3 linked regions of the Struthio camelus genome follow. The protein of the gene in region 1 purifies or fractionates together with the protein of each later gene. This does not show direct contact. Links are inferred from orthologs where the notes say so. Each region holds a gene or a part of one and is shown in the gene's direction. Other genes may lie near its edges.

Evidence for each region. Proteins that work in one complex are often made in the same cells at the same time.
Region 2: the proteins of YAP1 (region 1) and LIN7C purify together in Homo sapiens (affinity purification with mass spectrometry; 5 studies listed by BioGRID and IntAct, with this or other methods). This does not show direct contact. The link is inferred for Struthio camelus from reciprocal best matches to the Homo sapiens genes YAP1 and LIN7C.
Region 3: the proteins of YAP1 (region 1) and RPL7 purify together in Homo sapiens (affinity purification with mass spectrometry, with the first as the bait; 3 studies listed by BioGRID). This does not show direct contact. The link is inferred for Struthio camelus from reciprocal best matches to the Homo sapiens genes YAP1 and RPL7.

Annotation. Positions count from the first base shown.
Region 1 is NC_090942.1:208,824,726-208,831,691, reverse strand, and holds the start of YAP1 (transcriptional coactivator YAP1), read left to right. Parts: upstream 1-3,958; 5' UTR 3,959-4,246; coding exon 4,247-4,564; intron 4,565-6,966. Other genes in the region: CFAP300 (cilia- and flagella-associated protein 300), read left to right, coding at 2,758-2,889. UniProt on the Homo sapiens protein: Transcriptional regulator with dual roles as a coactivator and corepressor. Critical downstream regulatory target in the Hippo signaling pathway, crucial for organ size control and tumor suppression by restricting proliferation and promoting apoptosis.
Region 2 is NC_090946.1:29,275,380-29,282,226, forward strand, and holds the start of LIN7C (protein lin-7 homolog C), read left to right. Parts: upstream 1-3,841; 5' UTR 3,842-3,878; coding exon 3,879-3,915; intron 3,916-6,847. UniProt on the Homo sapiens protein: Plays a role in establishing and maintaining the asymmetric distribution of channels and receptors at the plasma membrane of polarized cells.
Region 3 is NC_090943.1:129,671,602-129,679,452, forward strand, and holds the start of RPL7 (large ribosomal subunit protein uL30), read left to right. Parts: upstream 1-4,845; 5' UTR 4,846-4,977; coding exon 4,978-4,991; intron 4,992-5,982; coding exon 5,983-6,085; intron 6,086-6,604; coding exon 6,605-6,771; intron 6,772-7,631; coding exon 7,632-7,769; intron 7,770-7,851. Other genes in the region: RDH10 (retinol dehydrogenase 10), read right to left, coding at 580-818, 1,153-1,435.

The DNA of each region.
Region 1 (6,966 bases):
TTATTTGGTTTAGGCTGTGGCTAAGAAGACCTTGTTTAGGAAACAATATTAAAAAAAAAAAAAGCCTATTAAAATCAGATAATATAGAAAGATGAAGCTGGCTGTCATCATCAGTATACCGAAAATTGTGTCTCATGCCTCTTTTCTAACAAATCTGTTTCCACAGATACCTATCTCAATAGTGTGGGCGTGTCAAAATCAGTGGTGGAAACTGATCTCATCTTTGAAAGTGCTATTGTATGTTTAAAAAACAGCTTCAGGGCAGTTTTATTGTTTCAGTAGTAAGATCTCTTAATCTAAATATTTCAAGGTATAAGGGTTCATTTATCTGTTTCTGCAGATCTGTTAGTATCAAAACTCTGTAGACCAGGGCATCTCAAGAGAAATTTTAAGTTATGTGACCACAAACTGTTGAACTCCAAGCTTCATAGCTTACATATAATGAATCTTCATTAAATCTGAGGTATTTGGATATTAATTGGTATTTTAGAACTTTCTTTACCTGAACCTTAACTGTAACAGTGTTAGAAATCTCTGTAATAAATAGTTTATGCACAAAGTCTTTTTAAAAACTTATTGATAAAATAATGCGTTTTTAAAGATGTTCAATGTATCTTTCTTCATTACGCTATGCATTTGTACTCTTGAAATCTTCGGCTGAATATCTATGTTCTTGTAGAAACAAATTAAATTGATCCCACTCTGGCATCAGTAAATCAAGGAAGTGTTACACCAACTCCACATGTTTGAACCAAAGTTCAAGCTGGTTAGATTCATGTTTTATTACTCTATTACCTATTACTCTAAAGACAAGAGTAACCCTATGTAAGTTCCGATGGTTTTATGCTGAAGTGTTTTAGTTTTTCTTTTTAAACGACCTTTTTACTGACTAAAATTAAAGAACCTTCCCCCTTACCTTAAATGATATAATATTTATTTTCCTGCTGTCAAGCTTGGTATATTGTTGAGTTTTTTGAAATGCCATGCCACCACAACTTAGCTTGCTTTTTTTCGTGTTTTGTTCGGCAAACTTTCGGTGTGCTGTCACTGCTTTTAAACGGTCAAAAACTCAACTTACGTTGGTTGATTCAGTAAGGACTGCAGACATGGGATTTCTAATAGCAATGGGAAATCAGTTTAATTAACACTCACATTTTGATGTTGGTCTTCTCTTCCTTTTTGGTGGGCTTAGGTTATTTTTGTATGAAACTCCAAAGACATTGTGATGCTGAGTACTGTAAAACGCAACTTAAAGCTTGCTCTCTTTAGTGAAACTGAGAATCCAGTGTTTCATGCACCTGAATCCCTATACAATGCCTGAATGTAGCTAGATGTCTTAAAAATGGAGCCACAAAGCTTGTATGCTGTGTTGCTTAAAACAGAATACTATTTTTAACTTTCTCTATTTCACTGTTATCAGAAAATAATGAGAATAAATGTATCAAATCTCTGCCTCTCTTAAACAATGCTTTTAGGGAGTTGCTTATCTTAATTTAAGATTTATGGTCTTGAATAATTCCTCAAAGGAAGAACATGTAGTATGGAATTCATTATCTTCTAAATAACAGGAGAGAAATTTGGGTGCTGATAACAGCCACTGGATAAAATTCACAAATTGTCCCTGGACCAGAAAATGGAAACGAGGTCTTTTCCCTCCAAGTTGACTGCCTTAGCCACTAAGATAGGGTGTTAAGAGTTTTCATGATTCCTTGGTCCAGAGAAAGACGGATTCTGCAGAGTAGAAGAGCTTCAACAGAAGAATGAGAGAGATGTGCTTCTAAGCTGGAATACTGTGTAGTCTGGGAATTTAAAGTTTTCCTAGAGGAAAAAAGGACACTATATGCAATATGGGAATTTACTCTAGTAAAAAAGGGAACAGAATTTACATATCTTCTAATACTGTGTAAAGTTGTAGGGAGCAGAAGGAAGCAGTTACCTGTTTTAAAAGAAAGGAGGTGTCTGCTACATGCTTGTTCATCTGTTAGATGTTCAATTACAAGACTGAATGCATCAAAAAAGAAGACATCTAATTTCTGAATCCAAGTAGGATTTGAGGCGGGTGACCAGCTTTACTGCTCTGTCAAGACTAAAGCTTTTATTGATATGTGCAGAAGTAGGATGTTAATTTGAAGAACCTAGTTTTCATAGTGTTGGTTGTCAGCTGAGTGTAGTTTTTGGAATGAGAAATTTGGAGTTCAGCATCTAAATTCTGTTAAAGCACTTTGTGAGAATTAGCAGACTTTTAAATAACATTTTGAAGATGTTAATAAGAGCTAGAAAGAGAGTTTTTCTTAGACACAAATATTGGAGACTGAACAGATGCATTAACAAATGTTAAGTGAAAAAGAATTATTGATAGAACAACTTTTGTTATTAATATATAGTTCCTAAATATTTTTCTATTTCAAAGGACACATGATTGGGTCTATGTATATTTAATCGTCTATATTTTAGGCTCTAATTATATATTCATGTGCTTACATGCTTAATTTTACATTTGCAATGGATTTTACATTTCCATTCAGGGTATTGGCACTGTTCAGACGGCTAGAGCTACTTACGTCCGTGTTGTAATGTCAGGACCTTCAGGGGAGATGTGATAAAACTACTTAAATAAACTCCGGTGTGTTTGTTGTGTTATGCCATCAAATAAATTGTTACAACTGAAACAGAATGATACATTTTATTCAAATTGTATGAATATGCTCATTGGTATCCATGTTGTCATTAACAGTTTCTTTTTCCTCTTCCTCTCAGGATGAGAATGGCCTATGTTATCCTTCAAACAAAAGCCATGAACAGACATTTGCCTATTTGATTGTGGACCCTTTCAAACGACACGTCCATACGTTGTATCATTGTTTTGGTGGAAGCTTCTTTGGAACCTAGTTTATTAACCTGGTTGTTCCCAAATTTTATAATAGAGGTGTTGCTCTTTCTGCATGAATTCAAGTAGAAGTCGCACGGTTTTCTTAGGAGGAAGCATGTACTCCTTCATTACACAACCTCTGAGTGGTTACATGTTTTATATCGCTGTTACTGTGCGGTTAGCGAAAAAAAGTTTTGTATAATTTTTGACTAGTTTATTTTTAGAGGAATACTTTCTGAAGCTGTTTGCCCGATAGTTGTGCCCCCTCTTCCCTCACCCGCGTTATCTAATAAACGGCATTTCTCAACATGTCTCGTCCCTGTTTATAAACCCTTTCAAGATCCGCGACGCATAAAGTCAAGGAAGGGGAGGCTCCGGAGTCAGCGAAATCTCGGCGGCAGTGGGAGAAAGTGCGTCAGCCGCCGCCGCCGCCGCGCTGCCCCCGGCTCCCCGCGCCCGCTCGGCCCCCGCGCCCGCCCGGCGGCGCCGCCAGGTGAGCGGGCGGCGGCGGCAGCCGCAGCCCCCGGCCGCCCCCTCGCCCCGCGCGGGGCCGCCCGTGCCCGCCCCGAGCGCCGGGGGCGCGGCCCCCACCCCCGGGGCGGCGGCTCCCGTCCCCCGCGGAGGCGCCGGGGTCGCTCCCGCTGCCGCTCCCCGGGCCGGGGCCGGGCGGGGGAGGGGAGGGGAGCCGCGCCGCGCCGCGCCGCGCCGCGCCGGCCGCTCTCCCCCCGCCCCTGGCGGAGCGGGCGCCCCTGGAAGTTGGGATGAAACTTGCGGGAGGGGGAAAAGTTCTGGTTGACTGAACTTCTTCGCGGCAACGCAGTGCGGGCGGGCGCCAGTGGGAGAAGCGCCCCCCGGGGGCCCCGGAGGGCGCGGGGAGCGTCTTAGGGGAGTGGGGGTGAGCCCACGCGCGTCTCGGCGCGCACCGGCGGCCGGCTGCGCGCGCGGGGGGGGCGGGCAGCACCCACGGCGCGGGGCGCCGGCGGCGGTGCGGGCGGGCGCGCGCAGGAGAGCCGCTCGGCACAGGCTGCCTCCGTCCGAGACGGTGCGGTGCGGGCGGGCTCAGGAGGGGCGGAGCTGGCTGTGGAGAGTGGTTCGGGCGGGCGTAACTCAGAACTTTTGTTTGGCGTGTTGTGTGAGTTAGTTTCCGCCGCCGGGACAGAGGCGCCGGCCGGGCTGGGCCGGGCTCGGGGAAGTGCCGCACGGCCAAAGTTGTTTTGCCAGTTGCTGCTGCCGGGTTGATTTCCCCGCTGAGGGGTAAGGAACACCAGCGAGAGCAGGACGAGCCGCAGCCCGGGGAGCGGGGCATGCGGGGCTGGGAATCGGGGCTCTGAGTCGCCGAGCCCCGCCAGGGAAGCGCCGGGGGGTCCCGCCGGAGCCATGGATCCCGGGCAGCCTCAGTCACAGCAGCCGCCGCAGGCAGCGCAGCCCGCGGCGCCGCAGCAGGCGCCGCCGCAGCCCCCCGGCGCGGTGTCGGGGGCCCCGGCCGGCGCGGCGCAGCCCCCGGGTGCGGGGCCCCCTCCGGCCGGGCACCAGATCGTCCATGTGCGGGGCGACTCGGAGACCGACTTGGAGGCGCTGTTCAACGCCGTGATGAACCCCAAGGGCGCCAACGTGCCGCACACGCTGCCCATGCGGCTCCGCAAGCTGCCCGACTCCTTCTTCAAGCCGCCCGAGCCCAAGGCCCACTCCCGCCAGGTGAGGGGGAGGGGGGCCGCCCGGGCCGGGCCGCGGAAGGGCGGGCGGGCGGGCGGCGGTGGCGGCGGCCGCCTCCCCCCCGCCGCGGAGCTCCTCCCGGGGGAGGCGTGCGGGGGAGGGGGGCCGGGGCCGGGCGGGAATCCGCCCCTGCCGCGCGGCCGGGCCGAGGGGAGGGGGGCGCCGAGGCCGGGACTCCCGTGGGGGAGGGGGGGTGGGTGTCGCTCCCTTTCTTCCTCCGGCTGCCTTGTGGGGGAGTCCTGCTCCCTCCTCTTCCTCCTCCCCCGCCTTATTTGTTCTTCACAGAGTGTTGCGGGGGGGGGGGGGGAAAGGGAAGGGAGGCGTCGCGCGGCTCCTCAGGGCGCTGAGGGGGAGCCGGCCCCGCGGCGGGGCGGCCGTTGGTGACCGTTGGCACCAGCCCGGCCCGGCCTGGTCCGTCCCGGTCGGCGGCGAGGCCTCCGGCTCCACATCCGCTGGGCGTCGAGCCCCGTGGCTGCTCTCCGGGTCTGACCGGAGCGGGTGGGGGGAGCGGGTGGGGGGAGCGGGGCCCCCGGCACCGCTGGTGGAAGCGCTTTGCTGGGAGGACCGGCCGCGCGGATTGCACTTTCTGGCCTAATCCGGCGGCGCTCATCCGTCCCCGTGGGGGAGGGGGCTGCGGAGGCCGTGCCCCCCCTCCCCTCCCCTCCCCTCCCCTCCCCAACATGGATGTAGATTTTCCACCATTTCATCACTGCGCCGGGCTGGGCAGGAGTCGTGCCCCCCCCCCCCTTCCCCCGTCAGAGTGAGTTCCGGAGCCCGGCGCTTTCTGTGCGTGTGGGTACCTTTAAGTCTGGCTGTGTCGAGGGTCCATTAAATTAACCGTCGGTGCGTTGGGCAGACATGATGTGAAAGCTTAAATCTCGGGGACCTGAACGGACACGAGAAACTGGTCTGCCGGTTTGCAGTGCAGGCTGAGTAGGAGATGCAGGATAGGGCCAGCGCCGAGGCACTGCTAGCGTTTGATCTTCTAGCAGAGTGACTTTTGTGCCAAGACCGAAGTGTTGGTGCAAGTATGACTGAAAGTTAATGTTTAGGCTGCTACTGCCAACTTTTTGGAAGGAGGTTGTTCCTACTGGAGTGTTTTTATTAAGTAATGAACTTTGTTGCTAAGCTATAAAATAGGTTTTATTATTGGCTATTGTCACTTTATCTATGTAGCCAGTAGGAGTGAAACTTGCTCTGTGTACTGGTGCCTGGTACTCTTGTTGTTAAGGGTCTGTCAACATTTCCATTATTAAACTTCTGTTTTGAAGGATTTATAACTTGGCTTCACAAGTTTACTCCAGGCTGAACCTTGGCACATACTCTCTTAGGCTAGGAGTTAATTCATTTTCCAAATACTCGAAAACCAATCTGGCCTTTATATTGTAAGACCGAAAACAAAATAGAAAGAGGTGGGACTGAGTTGCTTCTGTATTTTTGTTTGCTTCTGAGTTGCCAATCTTTGAATTGTTGAATAAAAATCATATCGTTTCATCAGCATTAATAACATGCTGAAATACACTGAGGAATAGTGCAGTTATTACATAGCTTTTACTCAAGTTATGCAAGTTTTATCACAGTTTGATTATGCACGGCGCTGGTGTAAGTTCATCTACTGCTTATTGCTGTGTCCTGTTAAATACAGTGAGTGCAGCTAAATGGCTCTTGTATTTGAAATGCATTTAACTTGTACGACGTTCATACACCATGTACTTTTAAGCTTAGGGTTATCTCGCCTGTATATATTGCTCTACATCCGTAATGCATACGGCTTAGTTGGATCACTGTTTCTTGTACCAGTTGGTGGTTGTTAAAATATAAACTTAAAAATCCAGCTGAAAGTAGAAAATCATTTATTTCATTGTTGACTCTCTTTTAAAAAGTCAGGCTGTCTTAATTTTCCTTTTTTGTTCGTTAGTGCCATAGCGATATTCTGCCTAACAGAAAGGGTCTTTAGGTTTCTGTAATTCTTTCTCTCTGTTTCTCAAGAATAAAAGCACCTCACGTTCAAGTGAATTGCAACTTGTGCATTTTATTAAAATCTAAGCTAATTCTTTGAAATACGTTTCCAATTTCATATATGAAACTTTGTACTCACATACAGGCTTAATGAAACAGAAATGTCAGTCTCCATGAGAATACATAAATGGGGCCTCGTGTATGGTGCAATACCTTGTGTAGAGAGGTGTGGCAATGGCTGATATATGCAACTTATTATAGGTGTCCATGTTGTTCTGGTGTATCTGCAAAAAAGAATTAATTTATGAATATATGTAAAAGTCAGCCTTATTTGAACTCAATTTTCAAAGCTGCTTTTCTGTTCTGTGGTGGACGCCTATCTGCTGACGAAGTAGTTCTACGTAGTTATGACTGGCAGCTTTCTG
Region 2 (6,847 bases), on another chromosome or scaffold:
AATGAATTAAGGCATTGCTGAAATTGCGAATACTAATACAACTGTCAGATTTAAAGTGATTAAATTCAGTGGTATTAAAGCAATAAAATTCTACCAACATGGTAGTCCTGAGGCAAAGGGATATCTTAATAACCTAAAAATTGAATTTGGACTCTCTTCACTGTCCTGAATCATAAATAAAAGTCCTATCATGGTTAATTCGGCCTGTCAGGTTTCCAAGGCAGACATTGTTCTCTGTGGGCAGCAGAGATTCCACTGCAATTTTTGTAAGTGAGTATTGCGTCCCGCTACCCATTTCTGGCCAAAATTTTTTTCTCCTCATTGGTGTATTGGGTTACGCAATTGTCAGCTCCCCCTAGAGTAACGGGCCACAAACTACCTTTGAGCAACTAGTTAGATAATTATTCAAGCAAAATTCCTTTCAGTTTTGACTTAACATTTGCCTAATAATGTTTAAAGTGCTTTGAGATCATTCTTGGCCAAGTGCGTGTGAAAATAAATATACAAATACTGTCTGTGTGGAATTTGTACCATCTGTGCATTAAAACAATGCACCAATTAGCACAGTTACTCTTCTAAAGATGTTATTGGGACCATAAAATATTAGAATACCATGTTCCAATGTTTTCTATAGCCTCTAAAGATTCTTACAGTCCCTCCTTGTGGCTAACACATACCATTGGGATGAAAAGGAAAATATTATCTACCAGGCCCCTGAGGAATGGTCCCATAAACACACAAGCATAGGCCTATACACATGAAAAATAATTTTCCAGTATAACTAAGACATAAGTTTGCACTGATAGAATTGCACTGGAACAAATGCACAGGCACTTTCTTATTCCCATTTTCATGGCTTTTTTGGTTTAGCGCATATTTAGTAAAAAAGTATTTAAGCTAAACCAAACCAAGCTACTCTTGAATCAGAATATCCACGAGAGCTGTTTGTGAGAACGTCTTGCTGCACTGCTGTAAATAGTACCTCTTTCTCATGAGAAGTTCGAGCGTGAACTCTGCACCCCAGATAAAGCTTGAATGAAAGTGAGAAAGTTCTTGAACCACTCTTCTTCCTGCCTTTTCCCTAGCTAATTCTGGAGATGTCCTTTAGTATCTGCACTCCCTATCCACCTGCCTATGTCTAACACCTAGAATAAAATGGCCCCATGGCCATGGCTGTAGACACTGTCATAAAAATATTATTAAGAACTTATGAATTAAGTAATTTATAAAGAAAGCTCATCCTCTTACTCATGCACCAAAACCTCTTCTCACCTAAAGTAAACTGTGCTTTCATCCCAAGCTAGCTCACACTAGAGACCGATTCCCACTTTTTCTTGGACTAGTAATGCAACTATTTTCCAATAAAGACATAGACAAAATCACTCGAGTATTGATATTCCTTCAACAGCAATTCTAGAGTGTCACCGCATCCACAAAAGACCTGCAGGACGTGTCTGCTCCCAGAAGTGTTACTGACAAATACTACAAATTGCAGCGTGAATGTTTCATACAGCTTTAAAGTGCAGCTGCTAACACTCCGGTTCATTCAGCAATGAGGATATAAGTACAGTAACCCTGACAGAGATTTCACAAGCAAGAATGACACAGCCAACGGAGTCTAAAATAGTAATTGAATTATACTTACAGTTAGCAAAATGCCTACAGTGAAGTTTATAGCTAACAAAATATATAAAGTGAAATGTAATGTTTACATCTTGCCTGCATCTCAGTCATTCCTGTGCAAATACCTTTTCTTAGTTATTCAGGAGGAGTACCCCCTCCCCCCCCTTTTGGGAATCACTTCTGAGACCTGTAGTGTATTTCAGGATAAGAGTTTGACACAGAAATTTTCATTTGCTGTTCTGTATTGTTTGATGATATGCTATTTGCTTTGATTTTCTTCCAAATTCTTGCCAGAATAGGGATTTCAAGACTAGGATGGCACAAATATTTTGTCACATAAATTTTGAAGCTGTCAGTATCCACCTATGCTTTTTCTTTTTCTTGAGCAAAACATAGCATGTTATAAACTCAGTAGTTAAACTCATTCTCTTCTTTGGGGCAGGATCAGACTTATGACTTATACAGTGGTTACTTCCTTGATGCACTAAAATAACTCTGCCATAACAATGCCTAGCTTTTTAACTTGGACCCTGTTGCAAATATCTCGAAGTCTGGAAAAAATGTGCTGAATGTTACCTCAGAAAGGAAAAAGTAAATGGGTATATATGCTTTTTTCTTTTTCTATATAGTCTGCTCTTTTATTTTCTTCCCCTCCTTTGTGGTCCTCCATTGGCATTCCATTTCTTCTTCCAGGGGAATATCAAGCCTGTCACTCTTCGGTTCTCCTGCAGGACATGGAAGAAGTGTACACACCAACTTTTAGCCTTTTTATTAAAAGGGACAGCAATGTCAAATTTCATTTCATAGCTTTATTTCATTTGCATAGTTTTCAGTTGGTTGAGCTCCACAGGTGTTGTGAAAAAGCAAATACCCCAAAAGAATAAGCAGTTGCTTCAATTGTTTCTTTTCCATTATTTTGTAAGACTGTAACTCCGCTAGTCTTCCTGCTATCCACAGAGCTTCTAGTGTAAAGACCTAACTTTCTCAAGTAAAAAATGTTTAGAGACAGCAAGTTCCCTTCTGGGAACAAAGGACAAACAATGATAAGCAAGTATTCAATTAGCAACGCTCTTCACAGGTCATAAACCAAAAACCCAAACTACTTCTTCCTTTTTTTTCCCCTACAGCTCACCAGTGTGCAGCTATAACTCAGTGCAGATTGCTGGAGCAAAACGTTTGAGTTGGATGGGGCTATGATGCAGACAGTGGAAACACGATATAAAATTTGCTTTCAGGTTTTATTATTCTCATAACGTTGTATTTCAGAGCAGAAAGGTCTGAATGACAGTCCGTTGTCCAGTTCAGTGGGTCTAGAGGAAAGCAGACCAGCTGTTTTACTTCTGCATCTTCAGTCTTTACTGAAGTCAAAACGACGCTACTCCAAAGATACATTTATTCTTGTCATGTGCCTTCTGGAAAAGCCTTAGATTATAGAAACGCTGCCTAAAACTCATTTTCTCCCTGGGCTCATCTGTCCAGAACAGGCTGTTTAAGGTGTCGATCACTTGGAGCAGGATGGTAGCTCTTACACCACTGGGGCACCAACATCTGGGTTTCATTCCAGAAACACTCTACACCTTCCACGGTTCCAGCTGCTAAAGCATTTTTTCTCGCTGGAAACGGGTTTAATGCTGTCCACCTGTGAAACTCCCACTCGTGTGACCTTCTCACCGAAACGCGCACACCGCATCCTTCACACGGAGGGGCACTGGCATCCAAATCAATCACAGACAGCAGGGAGAGTACATCCCTGTCACCTCGGCTGCCGCTTTTAAGACCTGTGGCTGACCGAGCAGAACCAGTCTCTTTCAAAGCAAAAAAGGCAGAACGCACCCGGGCCGACGTCGCCCGGCCGCCGGCCGCTCTAGGTGCGCAGCCCCCCGCCCCGGGCTTTCCGGGCGTACAACACCACAACAGAAAAGGCCGGGGGGTGGGGGGGAGGACAGGTCCCGGCAGATGCGCGGCCGCCGCGCTGCTCTGTGCTTTAGGCAGGCTGCGGGGCCGGCGGGGGGGGGGGCGGCTGCCTCCCCTTGCTCACCAGCCGGCCGCGCAACGGCCGCGCAACGGGCCGAGCGCTCACCGCTCCCAACATGGCGCCCGGCGTCGCCGCCCGGCAGCCGCTAGGGCCACGCGCCGGGGCGGGGCGGGGCGGGGCCAGGGCGCCCCCTGCGGGGCATCGCCCCGCCCCGCCCCGCCCCGCCCCGCCCCGCCCCGCGGCGCTGCGTCACTTCCGCGGAAGCCGGCGTGAGGAGAAGATGGCGGCGCTGGGCGAGCCGGTGCGGCTGGAGCGAGGTGAGTCTGTTCCCGGCTCTGCTGCCGCGGCCGGTCCGGTCCGGTCCGGTCCGGTCCGGTCCGGTCCGGTCCGGTCCGGTCCGCCGCTACTTGGGCCTGGGCCTGGGCCTGGGCCTGGGCCTGGGCCTGGGCCTGGCGCTGCCGAGCTGGGGCAGTCTCTCTCGGTCTCGGGCCCCAGGGACGCGCCCGGCCGGCCCGAGGCCGCGGGATGGCGGTGGCGGCCCGGCCCGGCCCGGCGCTGTGCGGGGCGGGTCTGCGCCGCCCTGGAGGCGGCGAGGGGGCAGCCGGGCAGCAGATGGCCCTTGAAAGTGTTTTCTCTCGGTGCCGGTTCCGTGCCTGCGTGGGTTGGTCTCGCTTCTCTGGCGTTTTCTTTCGGCAGGCGCCGAGGGTTTTTCTCTTGCTGGGCTTCGGCTTGTGAGCGGGTGGCGGCGGGCGCTCCGCCGGCCCTCGCCCCGACCGGCTGTAGGTGCGTGTGTGCAGCGCCCTCGCTGGGGTCAAAACTTCCGCCAGCAATTTACGCGACCAGCTGACTCCTTGTTTCTGCCTTTTCCACTGGATTGTTTACTCTTGATCAAAGCTAAATTCTTGAGTTTAATTTACTGCACTGTGTCTTAGCAGCAGGCCTTGTTTTTTTTTTTTTTTTGTACAGGAAACTTTGCATGAACAAACAAAACATTTGGTCATGAATTTTGCTTAACTCTTTACACTTTCATGTTTCTGTCTTTGGCCTGACCTTGTCGTTTTCAGTGCTAAGTTGTACTGCTGATATTGTGTAGTATGTAAGTAGAAGCAGATAAAATCCAAAACTGAATTGTCTGTTTCTTCTGTAGTACACGTCTGTGTCTCTTATCCAGCATTCTATGAAGCAATAATAAATTCCCTTCAGTATGGCTCTTCAGAATTGTGCCAAGCCCACAGGAGCTCTGTGAGGGCATCCATGTATAAGCAGTATATATGACTGGTATATTAGGATGTATGTAAAAATAGTGAATGGAATATGGAATTTTAAAAGAATAACGAGAATCAAGAATTCTATTCTTGAAAAGCAAAGCAATTATATGAAGTGTAGGTGACTTAGTTGAATTGATTATTTTCCCATTGCCGTTCCCTTTGGGCCCACCATCTTTGCTCAGCATTCTAGATGCTTCTGTATGGATGTGTAACTACATATTTTATATGCCCACTTCTTTGTGGTTGATACTGTTAAGTGTTACTCACCACAGAATTCAGTTCTTCTGTTTGTCTCCTCTCCTTACTGTTCCACAAGTAAATCACTTGTAATGTGTGAGGGAAGGTCTGTAAATAGTACAGTACTTATGTAAGAACTTTACTTCCCACTCCACAGCTTATCTACCCTCCCTCCTCCAAAGCTTGTTAATTAGAGCAGCTGCTTTGGCGGTGGATTAGTTGCTCTTGGTAGGTCTGCTGAGTTAAACCTCAGGCAGCATCCCTGTCCACCTCATTACCCTGCCACTATGCTCTACGCATGAAAAACAAATCTGTGCAGTTACTTAGGGATCAATGGAACAAAGGAGCTATTTAAAGTCTTCTGGCACGTTAGTCTTTTGGAGAAAAGAAGAAAAAGGGACTACAGTATAATGTCTGTATAATGAAGCTACAGAAGTAAGCGCTTTCTTTACAGAAATAAACAACCTCTGTTAATTCTATGGGGTTGACTGCAAATAACCTTATGAATCGTTGTCAGCATGAAAATGAGCATTACTAATGTTGCTGGCGTATAGCATAAGAAAAGAGAGGCTACCGTAGAAAATGTGCTGATTTAAAGTGGTTACCATATGCTTACTATCAGGGCAAATGAAGATTCTCCCCTTCTGTTCTTTCCTCTAAGCTGTATCACAGCCACCACCACCCAGGTTCACGGGAGTGAAGCGATGAAACAACATTTAACGTTTTGAAGTTGTTCTTTTAGCTTAGTGATATATATGATAAATCGACATACACCTTAGGAATGCAGACTATTTGAACAGAAGCAGCAGAAGTGGTTATTTAGCAATGTCTAACAATGCAATGTCTGATGTTGCGTTTTTCCTCCTTTCTATGTTTTGTTCATACGTATGCATGTGCAGAGTGGAGGCATTTTGCCGGTTTTCCACGTTCTTGGTTTAAGTGTGTTTTCCTGTCAGCACTTCAATCTGGTATCTTGTGGTCACTAAACTTGTGAAGAACAGGCAACTAATTTAAAAAAGAGGAAAAGGTTCAAAGAAAATCCATTTTTAAATGATGTGTGAGTTGAGCTTTACAATGAGTTTTATGTTTTTTATCACCTACCTCTGGAGTTATTTTTGCATCATTTCTGGCTTTGAAGGATTTTAACAAGAAATCTGTAGTGTTCATTTCAGTCTCTGGTTCTGAACAGTTGGCCAAGCTATAGTGTTAATATAATGAGGAAGAAAGCTATCAGCTGATCATATCCCAAGCAGTAGTTCAGGAGGAAGCAGGCGAGATCAACAGAGCTGTTGGCATCCCTTTCTTTTGTTCTCTGTGCACAGCTGTAAGAAGAAGATACTTTACCGCCTTTTCCCAGCTGGCTAGTTCCTTTCCAAAGCAGTAGAGCATTGAGACAGAGTGAGTCTTCAGCTTTTGATTAGCATTGCATTGCTGCATTAGTTTGGTGTGAGAAAGTTATGCTCGTTTCACTTTCAAACTAGTATAACTAGGTCCTGTTAAGGTGGTAAAACAAAGTAACTGTTGGGGGGAGAAAGTGCTGCTAATGGGATCCGTTGTCTATACCTACCTGATCAAGAGAAGCACTGTGTTAAAAGCCAATTTGTAGAGTGCCGAGTACCCAACTTTCCTATTCTGTGTGTCTGCTTTGGTTTTTTACTTCTCAGCAATGTTCTGGTCCTTTGATCTGAATGCTCATTAATGGTGCAAGTGCATCTTCTGGTTTAGTTGCATCCAATTCGTGCAC
Region 3 (7,851 bases), on another chromosome or scaffold:
GAGAAAGCTATGAGGACAAATACACAGAATTCATGAAGAAGTGTTTTTGGCTTGTTTTCTTGAGAGTTTTTTTGCCTTCCCAAGGAACAATTTACCTCCAGGGCAACTCTACCAACATTTCCAGCAGGGTTTTTGGGTTTTTTTTTTTTTTTAAACAGAAATGTGTGAGCTCGCTATTGTAGCCATAATTAAAACAGCATCTTAAAGCTAAAAGATGAATTAAGACTACAGGGAAGGAGGAGGGGAGGGAAGTCATTCATTAACAGTAGCAACCTTTAAGCAGATTCAGAGGTTATGCTCGCAAAGGATTTCATACCCAGGGCTACATAAAATGGCATGAGATTTTATACTCTGGATTCTTTGAGGATATAGTTGATTAAAAACTAAAATGTAATAATTTTAATACCAACGACTCCTGTTAAACAGAATAATGCATTAAAAATGAGAAACCTGCAAAGTAGTGAGCTTGCAAACAAAAGGGAGCAAGTGCAAAACCAGGAAAAGAAGGAGTTAAGCAACACTAAACTTTTTTTCAAAATTAACTGACAAAAAGGTCAGCATGGAGGAGCGTATAGTTACCCAGAAGTGTGCGTGACAGTTCACCATCATGGTCCTCTCAATAAGCTCATCGGGACACTCCAAAAGATGGTGCCCGGAGACCACACCGGCATTGTTAACCAGGACGGAAACCTCGCCAACCTCTTTGCGGACCCTCTCGGCTGTCGTGTAGACATTTTCTCTTTTGCCCACATCGCAGGTGTACGTGTAAACCTGCAAGTTGCAGTGGGGCAGCGCTTCTTTTTCTCCATCTGCAGCTGCTAAGGAACACAGACAGGAGAACAGAGCAAAGTAAAACGCTCGCTCGGCTTTCAGCCTGCGGGACAAGTCAAACCGAGGAGTGGAAGCAGCAGACGCGTTTCCATTACACGACAGCCTCTGTTTACTTTGGTGTCACCACAGTCCGCCAGGACTCGCCTATTTACCACCGCTGCCAGAGCGTTGCGGGGGGGGGGGGGGGGTTGTTTGGTTTTTTTTGTTTCGAGGGGGACACCCAGCTCGGCCGTCCAAGCCGCCTGGGGCCGCTGCCGGCGAGCAAGTGAAGGGGTGGTTGGGGGGGGGGACCGGCGGCGGAGCCCCCAGCGGGCCGCTTACCTCCGGCGGCGGTCGCCTCGGCCAGCTGGCGGTAGATGTGGCGCACCATGCCGGCCGTCTCCTCGTTGCTCTGCGTGTTGATGTCCCAGAGCACCAGCAACGCCCGGCGGCGGGCAAACTCCAAGGCGAAGAGGCGGCCCAGGCCGCTGCCCGCCCCGGTGATGAGGCACACCTGCCCCGCCACGCTCTTCTCCTTGGGTCGCACCAGCCACTTGGCGGCGGCCAGCACGAAAGCCCAGAGCACTTTGAAAGTCACCACGAAGAACTCGAGCAGGATGTTCATGCTGGCGGCTCCCCCCCGCGGCCCCACGGGCGGCGTCGGCGGGTGCCTGCTCGCCGCCCGGCGCTGCACCTGGGGCCGCTCCCGCCCTGCCGGCCCGGGACCTCCCGCCGCGGCGCGGCGCGGGCAGGGGGAAGCGGGGAGAGCCGAGCGGCGCCGGGCTGGGCTCCCCCCTGCTCGCCGCTCGCAGCCCCGGCACCGAAAGCAAACGGAGGCGAAGCCCGAGCGAGCGAGCGAGTGCGAGCAGCGCCGCCGCCGCCTCGCTCCCGGCCCCTGTCACACACGCGAGGCCGCGCTGCCGCCTCCGGCAGGGGACGGGTCCCGCACCGCGGCGCCGCCGCTGTCGCTGCCTCGCCCCCCGGCCCGCACCGAGCCCGCCGCCCCTCTACTCGCAGTGAGCATCTTGGCCGCCCGCCGCGCTATATAGGCCGGGCTGGGCGGCGGGGACCTCCCCCGGGCGGCCCGGCCCGCCCCGCATTCCCGGGACCGCCACCCCCATCGCCGCCGTCCCGCCCCGACCCGCCTCCCCCGCCCGCGGCGGGGGTCCCGCCGCCGCGCCAGGCCGCGCCTGACGGGAGCGACGCGGCGGGTGCCGGGCGCCCCGTCACCGGCCCCGCCTGCCCGGCCTGGGCCGGGCCGCGCCGCTGCCCCGCGCCGCTCCGGGGCGTCCCGGCGGCGGCGGCGGCGGCGGCGGCGGCGCTGGGCGGGGCTGTGAGAGACCCCGCCTCCCGCCCGCGGCGGGCGGACTACATGTCCCAGGGTGCACAGCGGCCGCGCTCCGGAGCGCCATCTTGAGGGCAGCGGCCGCCGCCGCCGGGTGTCCTTCAGCGGAGCGGCGCGCATCCGCGGGACGGGTGGCGGGGCACCTCTGCGCACCGCCTCCGGAGAGAGCACATGCCGCAGGGCTTGTGATGCCGGAGTTTTGGTTAGGAGGGCGTGAAGAAGCGGTAAAGGGTCGTGCTTGCGCTGACAAGTGCGCAGAAGTTGCAGAAGGCCTGGGCGCGGCGGGGCGAGGCGATGTCCGCGGGAGTCCCGCGGCGGCCAGGAGGCCTCTCCCACACCTCGCCCCTAGCTCTGCCGGGCCGCGGGTTTCTCTGCTGAGCTGTGACGAGCAGTTGAACCAAACGCTGTTCGTTGTTTTTTTTATTTTTTTCTTTTTTTTGTCAGTCAGCCAAGTGTGGAGGCTATTAATATATAACTAACCACAGATTAAAATGAAAATTTAGCACTGCCACTGCCTTGCCCGAGATAACAAATCTCACGTTCTGGTGATTGACATGCTATGGCTCCCCCCCTCTCACTCAGCACCAGGAGCAAGCTGCTCCCCCATCACCTATCCGCTCCGGAGGACACGGAGCAGCGTGTGCCCTTGCTGTTTCCCACATATGGGTAATGCTCATCCAACTGCCTGCTTCTCCAGAGATAACCATCTGTAGATGTATGCCAAAGAGCACTATGCTGTGTTTTCCTGCTCTGTGCAGCTGCCAGCTTTCACAGAAGCTGTACGAACTTTGTATTTGTGAACATGGTCTCTGAGATTTAGCAGAAATTTGAGTTCAAAAGTTTGGGGGTGACAGACGGAACAAAGGAAAATGAACAAACTAATATATAATTGCAGATATCTATTTTCTAAAAAAAATCTGCTATGCCCACTAGAGAAAGTGCAGACAACGTCCTAACGTAGGTGTTTTATTGTACATTTGCTTGCTGCTAGATGTTAATTATCCTGTTTATTATAGTTTTAATCGGGTCTAGTGATATAAGCTTCTGTATTAGCATAAAGAAAGGGTACTTTGCAACACTTAACATTGCTCAAATACAAAAGTGTATCAATAAGTGGCTACTTATTCAGTGCTACCTAGCATGTTTCATGTTGTAAATAAACAACAGAAATAAATAAAACCAAGAAAATACAGAAATCAGAATTCATTATCCTCAGCCCAGCTATTTGTTCTATTTCTTAAGCTGGATAATTCTTTGCTTCTCCTAATTCCACGGATTTCCCTTCTTCTCATGCATACATAATCACGTTTCAAGACTCGTTCCCGCAGAGGTGATTTTAAGAACTTAAGTATGTTTTCCTAAGATGAGGACCCAAGAGTAGCCCCAAGAAGGCCATTAAGTAGTCTTTAGCAACAATCCAAATAAATAAAAGATGTCCTGTGACGAGCAGTTTGGTTAGCAGCAGTGCTTCCTTAACTCTCTTTTCATCTGGATCTACACAACTTTGTATGATGAGCTGAAAAGCAACACAACTTAAAAAAAAACCTAATACAAAGGTTACTTAAATTTTGCAGTCCCTAGTTCACAATATGACCCAGTAAAGAACTGTATAGTCGTTAACTTAGGGGATGACACGGAGTTGGGAACAGGTAAGCGGTTTGGTAGTTGTTTAAGTCAGCACTGCTGCTGAAATCAATGCTTCTCACACATGACTTGTTCCAGCGGCAGAAACAGAAATAAACGCAGGAAACTTGGACTCTCGTGCTGGAAACGCTTAAAACACATTGGAGTCCCTGGGATTAACAGAAGTAGTACAGTTAAGATTGCACATAAACATTAGCAGGTTTAGACCTTGCTTCGGCCTTTCTCCCGCTCTTCTCAGCATTTAGGCTGCCAGATTTTAAATAAAGAAGTACAAGGCGTCCCCCCGCCCCATGTCCCGTTTGCCATTTCGCACCCTCCTTCGGCAGATCCCGCAGCGATCGGTGTCTCCCTCGAGAGGGTGGCACCTCCTGCCGCCGTCCGCGTCCCCCCCTCGCCCCCTTCGGGCCCTGGGGACGCCGGTGCCACCCAGCCAGCCCTTACGAGCTGCCGGGGCAGGCCGTGAGCCCCGCGGCAGGCGAAGGAGCCAGCACAAGTAGCATTTCCCATATCTCGGCCTCAATCCCCCCCGTCTGTATTAAAAGCATACGGTGGAAGGTAATATCCCATATGCTTTTAATACAGGATACAGGATTTAAGGCTGAAATACGGGAAATCCTGTATTATGCGAAATGCCTCGCAACCCTACCACAGCCCCGACATAAAAGCACAACCAGGCTAGCTGCACACTCCATCCTGCATACACTACAACAGGCAACGCCGCACGTCTAATTAATGCCAAACTACCAATTACGACGGGGAAAAATAATTAACAAGAAATAGTTTTAGCAACTCTGAGAGGGTTATTTCCTCCTCTCCGCAGGCGCGGCGGCGCTGGCGCGACCCCCTCGCCGGCAGCAGCGCACGGTCCGGGCCGCCCTCGGCGCGGCTCCCGCTCCCGCCCGCTCGCGGGGCGCCCCGAGGCGCGCAGAGAGGCGGCGGGGCGCACCGAGACCCCTCTGATTTTTACCGCGGCTCCGCGCCGGGGGGCGGAGGGCGGCTCCGAGCCCGCTCGCGGCTCCGGCACTCCGCGGCCACCCCCTGCGCGCGCGCGCGCCGCGGCCAGGCACCGCCGCGGACGCCCAAACGCGGGGTCCTGCCGGTGCCCGCCGGGCCCTACCCGCGCCGCGCGCTAGGTGGGCGCTGCGCATGCGCGAGCTCTCTCTCTTCCGGCGCTGACCATGGCGGACAAGGAGTGAGTAGCGATTCCGCCCTGCCACAATCCGCCGCCATCGGCGGCCGCTGCCCCCGGCCCGCACCGCCCGGCGGCCTCCGGGCACGCTGCCGGCCGCCCCCGGCCGCCGGACCTCCGCCAGCGCCCGCGGGGGGCCGGAGGGGGCGATATGGGCGGGCGGCCTGGGGCCGGGAGCGGCGGTGACGCGGCCGCCGCCTGCCCCGTCGCGTCGGCCGAGGGCGGTTGCTGCCTCTCCTCGCCTCGCCGGGTAGGGAGGAGAGCTGGGCAGGCAGAGCCGGGCCCGAGCGCTGCTCCCTGGGCGAGGGACGCGGGGCGACTCCGTTCCTCCTGGCCTCGCAGGCGGGCGATGGGTAGCGTCCGCGCTCTGGTGCGCGCAGCGGTGCGTGGCCTGAGTGGAAAGCCGTGGCTGGGTGTGTACGTGGTGTGGAAGTTAGCGCGAGTTATTTCTCTCTGAATGCCGGTTTTGTAAATCCTGTAGTATACGCTGCTTACAGAATCCAGTCACATTAAATGCACGCATTCTGATAATCAGACTGTTATCAGCCTGATGCTCCCCTTAAACTACTGGTTGCAATGTTTGTTCATTGCTTTGAAAAATATTTGTTTGAAACAGACCTTTTCTGCTTATAAGCTAGAAAGTAACTAAATACTTTAGTCACTTGATAACTGCACAGTTGGTATTTTCTGGAGAAAATAAACCTTTGTAGGTGCCCAGAAATTGCACTGTGATGTACCCTGGTGTGCAGCTCAATGGCCAGTCGGTCAAATTTCCCAGTCTTTACGTAAAAGATGCTCTTTGGAGGTTGCATTAAGGTCTTGAATAACTGGCAATAGAGAGAGTACAAGGAAGATGCAATAATGAACTAGGGCAACACGGTGAAGCTTGCGTATGCCTTCTATTAAGGACTTACTTACAGTGGTGTTTGTAATGTGTTACTTCTACTTGGTCTGAAGAAAGTAGGTTTTAAAGAGTCTTTTTCTTGTAACTTAGAGCAAAGAAGGTGCCCTCCGTTCCGGAAAGCCTCCTGAAAAAGCGGCAGGCTTATGCAGCTATAAAAGCCAAACGTCTGAAGAGGCTGTTGGCTCAAAAGAAGGTGAATATTTCTTGTCTTTTTGTATGCATTGATTATCTGTTCTGTAGGCAGATCAGTGGAACACTACTACAGATATGAAGTAGTAGAGAAATGTTTTAGGTCTGGCAAGTTTGGGGTTTTGTTTGTTTTGGAGTTTTTCTTTAGCATTTTGGTGTAAAACATGGACCAAATAAAAAAGAAAATCCAAATAGCGCGTAACAAACTAGTTGTGGGCAGAGTGAATGCCATGTGTGCAGGTGTCTATAAAAATAAAGGTAGTTGGTTACAAGGCAGGAGGTTGCAGCCTTTGTGAGAGTAAGCATGGTGTATGAAAATACCCTGTTTGATGTAAGGTAGAATTACTGTGCAGTAGAGACCTGTTTCTCTAGAATATTACTGAAAGTCATTCTGAGTCCCATCATACGGGCAGATGTTCCCTTACTGTGTGTTATTTGTGGGGCGGATGCTACGCTATTTGAAGCTAACTTTCTTGTGTTAAAAGGCATTATGTAATCTTAAGTAACTTTCCACTAATTTCAGCTTCGTAAGGCACAAAGGAAACTCATCTATGCAAGAGCCAAAGCTTACCACAAGGAATACAGGCACATGTATAGACAGGAGATCCGTATGGCCAGGATGGCCCGAAAAGCTGGAAATTACTACGTACCAGCTGAACCAAAGCTGGCCTTTGTGATCAGGATAAGAGGGTAAGACTTCATATGGATGGAAACACTTGCTTTTATTTGTCTGCTTTAAGGGCTTACATCAGCAAGTTTGCTGATGATACTAAACTGGGAGGAGTGGCTGGCACACCAGAAGGCTGTGCTGCCATTCAGAGGGACCTGGACAGGCTGGAGAGGTGGGCGGAGAGGAACCTCCTGAAGTTCAACAAAGGCAAGGGCAGGGTCCTGCACCTGGGGAGGAATAACCGCAGGCACCAGTAAAGGCTGAGGAAAGCAGCTCCGCAGAGAAGGCCCTGGGAGTCACCCTCAGCAACTCTATGCCTTCATCCAGGCCATTGATGAATGTGTTAATGCTGGGCCCAGTACTGTCAGATATGTGCCAGAGAATGATTTAATTATTAAACGTAAAAATTACTATGTTGGGCATGTCTTCCTTAGGAATAACTGGTTAAAAACAAACAAACAAACAAAACTGCAAATATGTGAGGCAATTGTTGTGTTTCACCTTAAGCTTGATAAAATTATGTACCAACACACAGTAACATTACTAAGTTTGCCTCGAGTGCTTGGTTAAGGGTGTTCTAGGAAAGTCTTCAAGGAAACTAAGGGAAGACGTGGTTGCAAGGATAGTTAGTTCTAAATAATTTGTTTCAGTGGATTCCTTATTTAAATTCTTTTCTTTAAGTTAGATCTGGCGTAAGCTTACTACTGAAATACGTAGTGATAGTACATAATAACTTACTAAACTGTTTTCCTGTAATTCATAGGATGGCGATGCATTTAAGATGAGAACGGTATTGCTTTTTTAATCTGTTAGTGCTTTGATGATACTTTAGTGTATTCTGGGATGTAGACAATTAAAAGAGGCTCTCTGTGCTTTCTAGTACCAATGGTGTTAGCCCCAAGGTCCGTAAGGTATTGCAGCTTCTTCGCCTGCGTCAGATTTTTAACGGCACGTTTGTAAAACTCAACAAAGCTTCTATCAACATGTTGCGGATTGTTGAACCCTACATTGCCTGGGGGTGAGTGAAATAGTTTTATCAAATCAGGGTGCAGGTGTTCACTGCATCTTGCACTTTGCTACACTAGATTTGCATGTCTTCC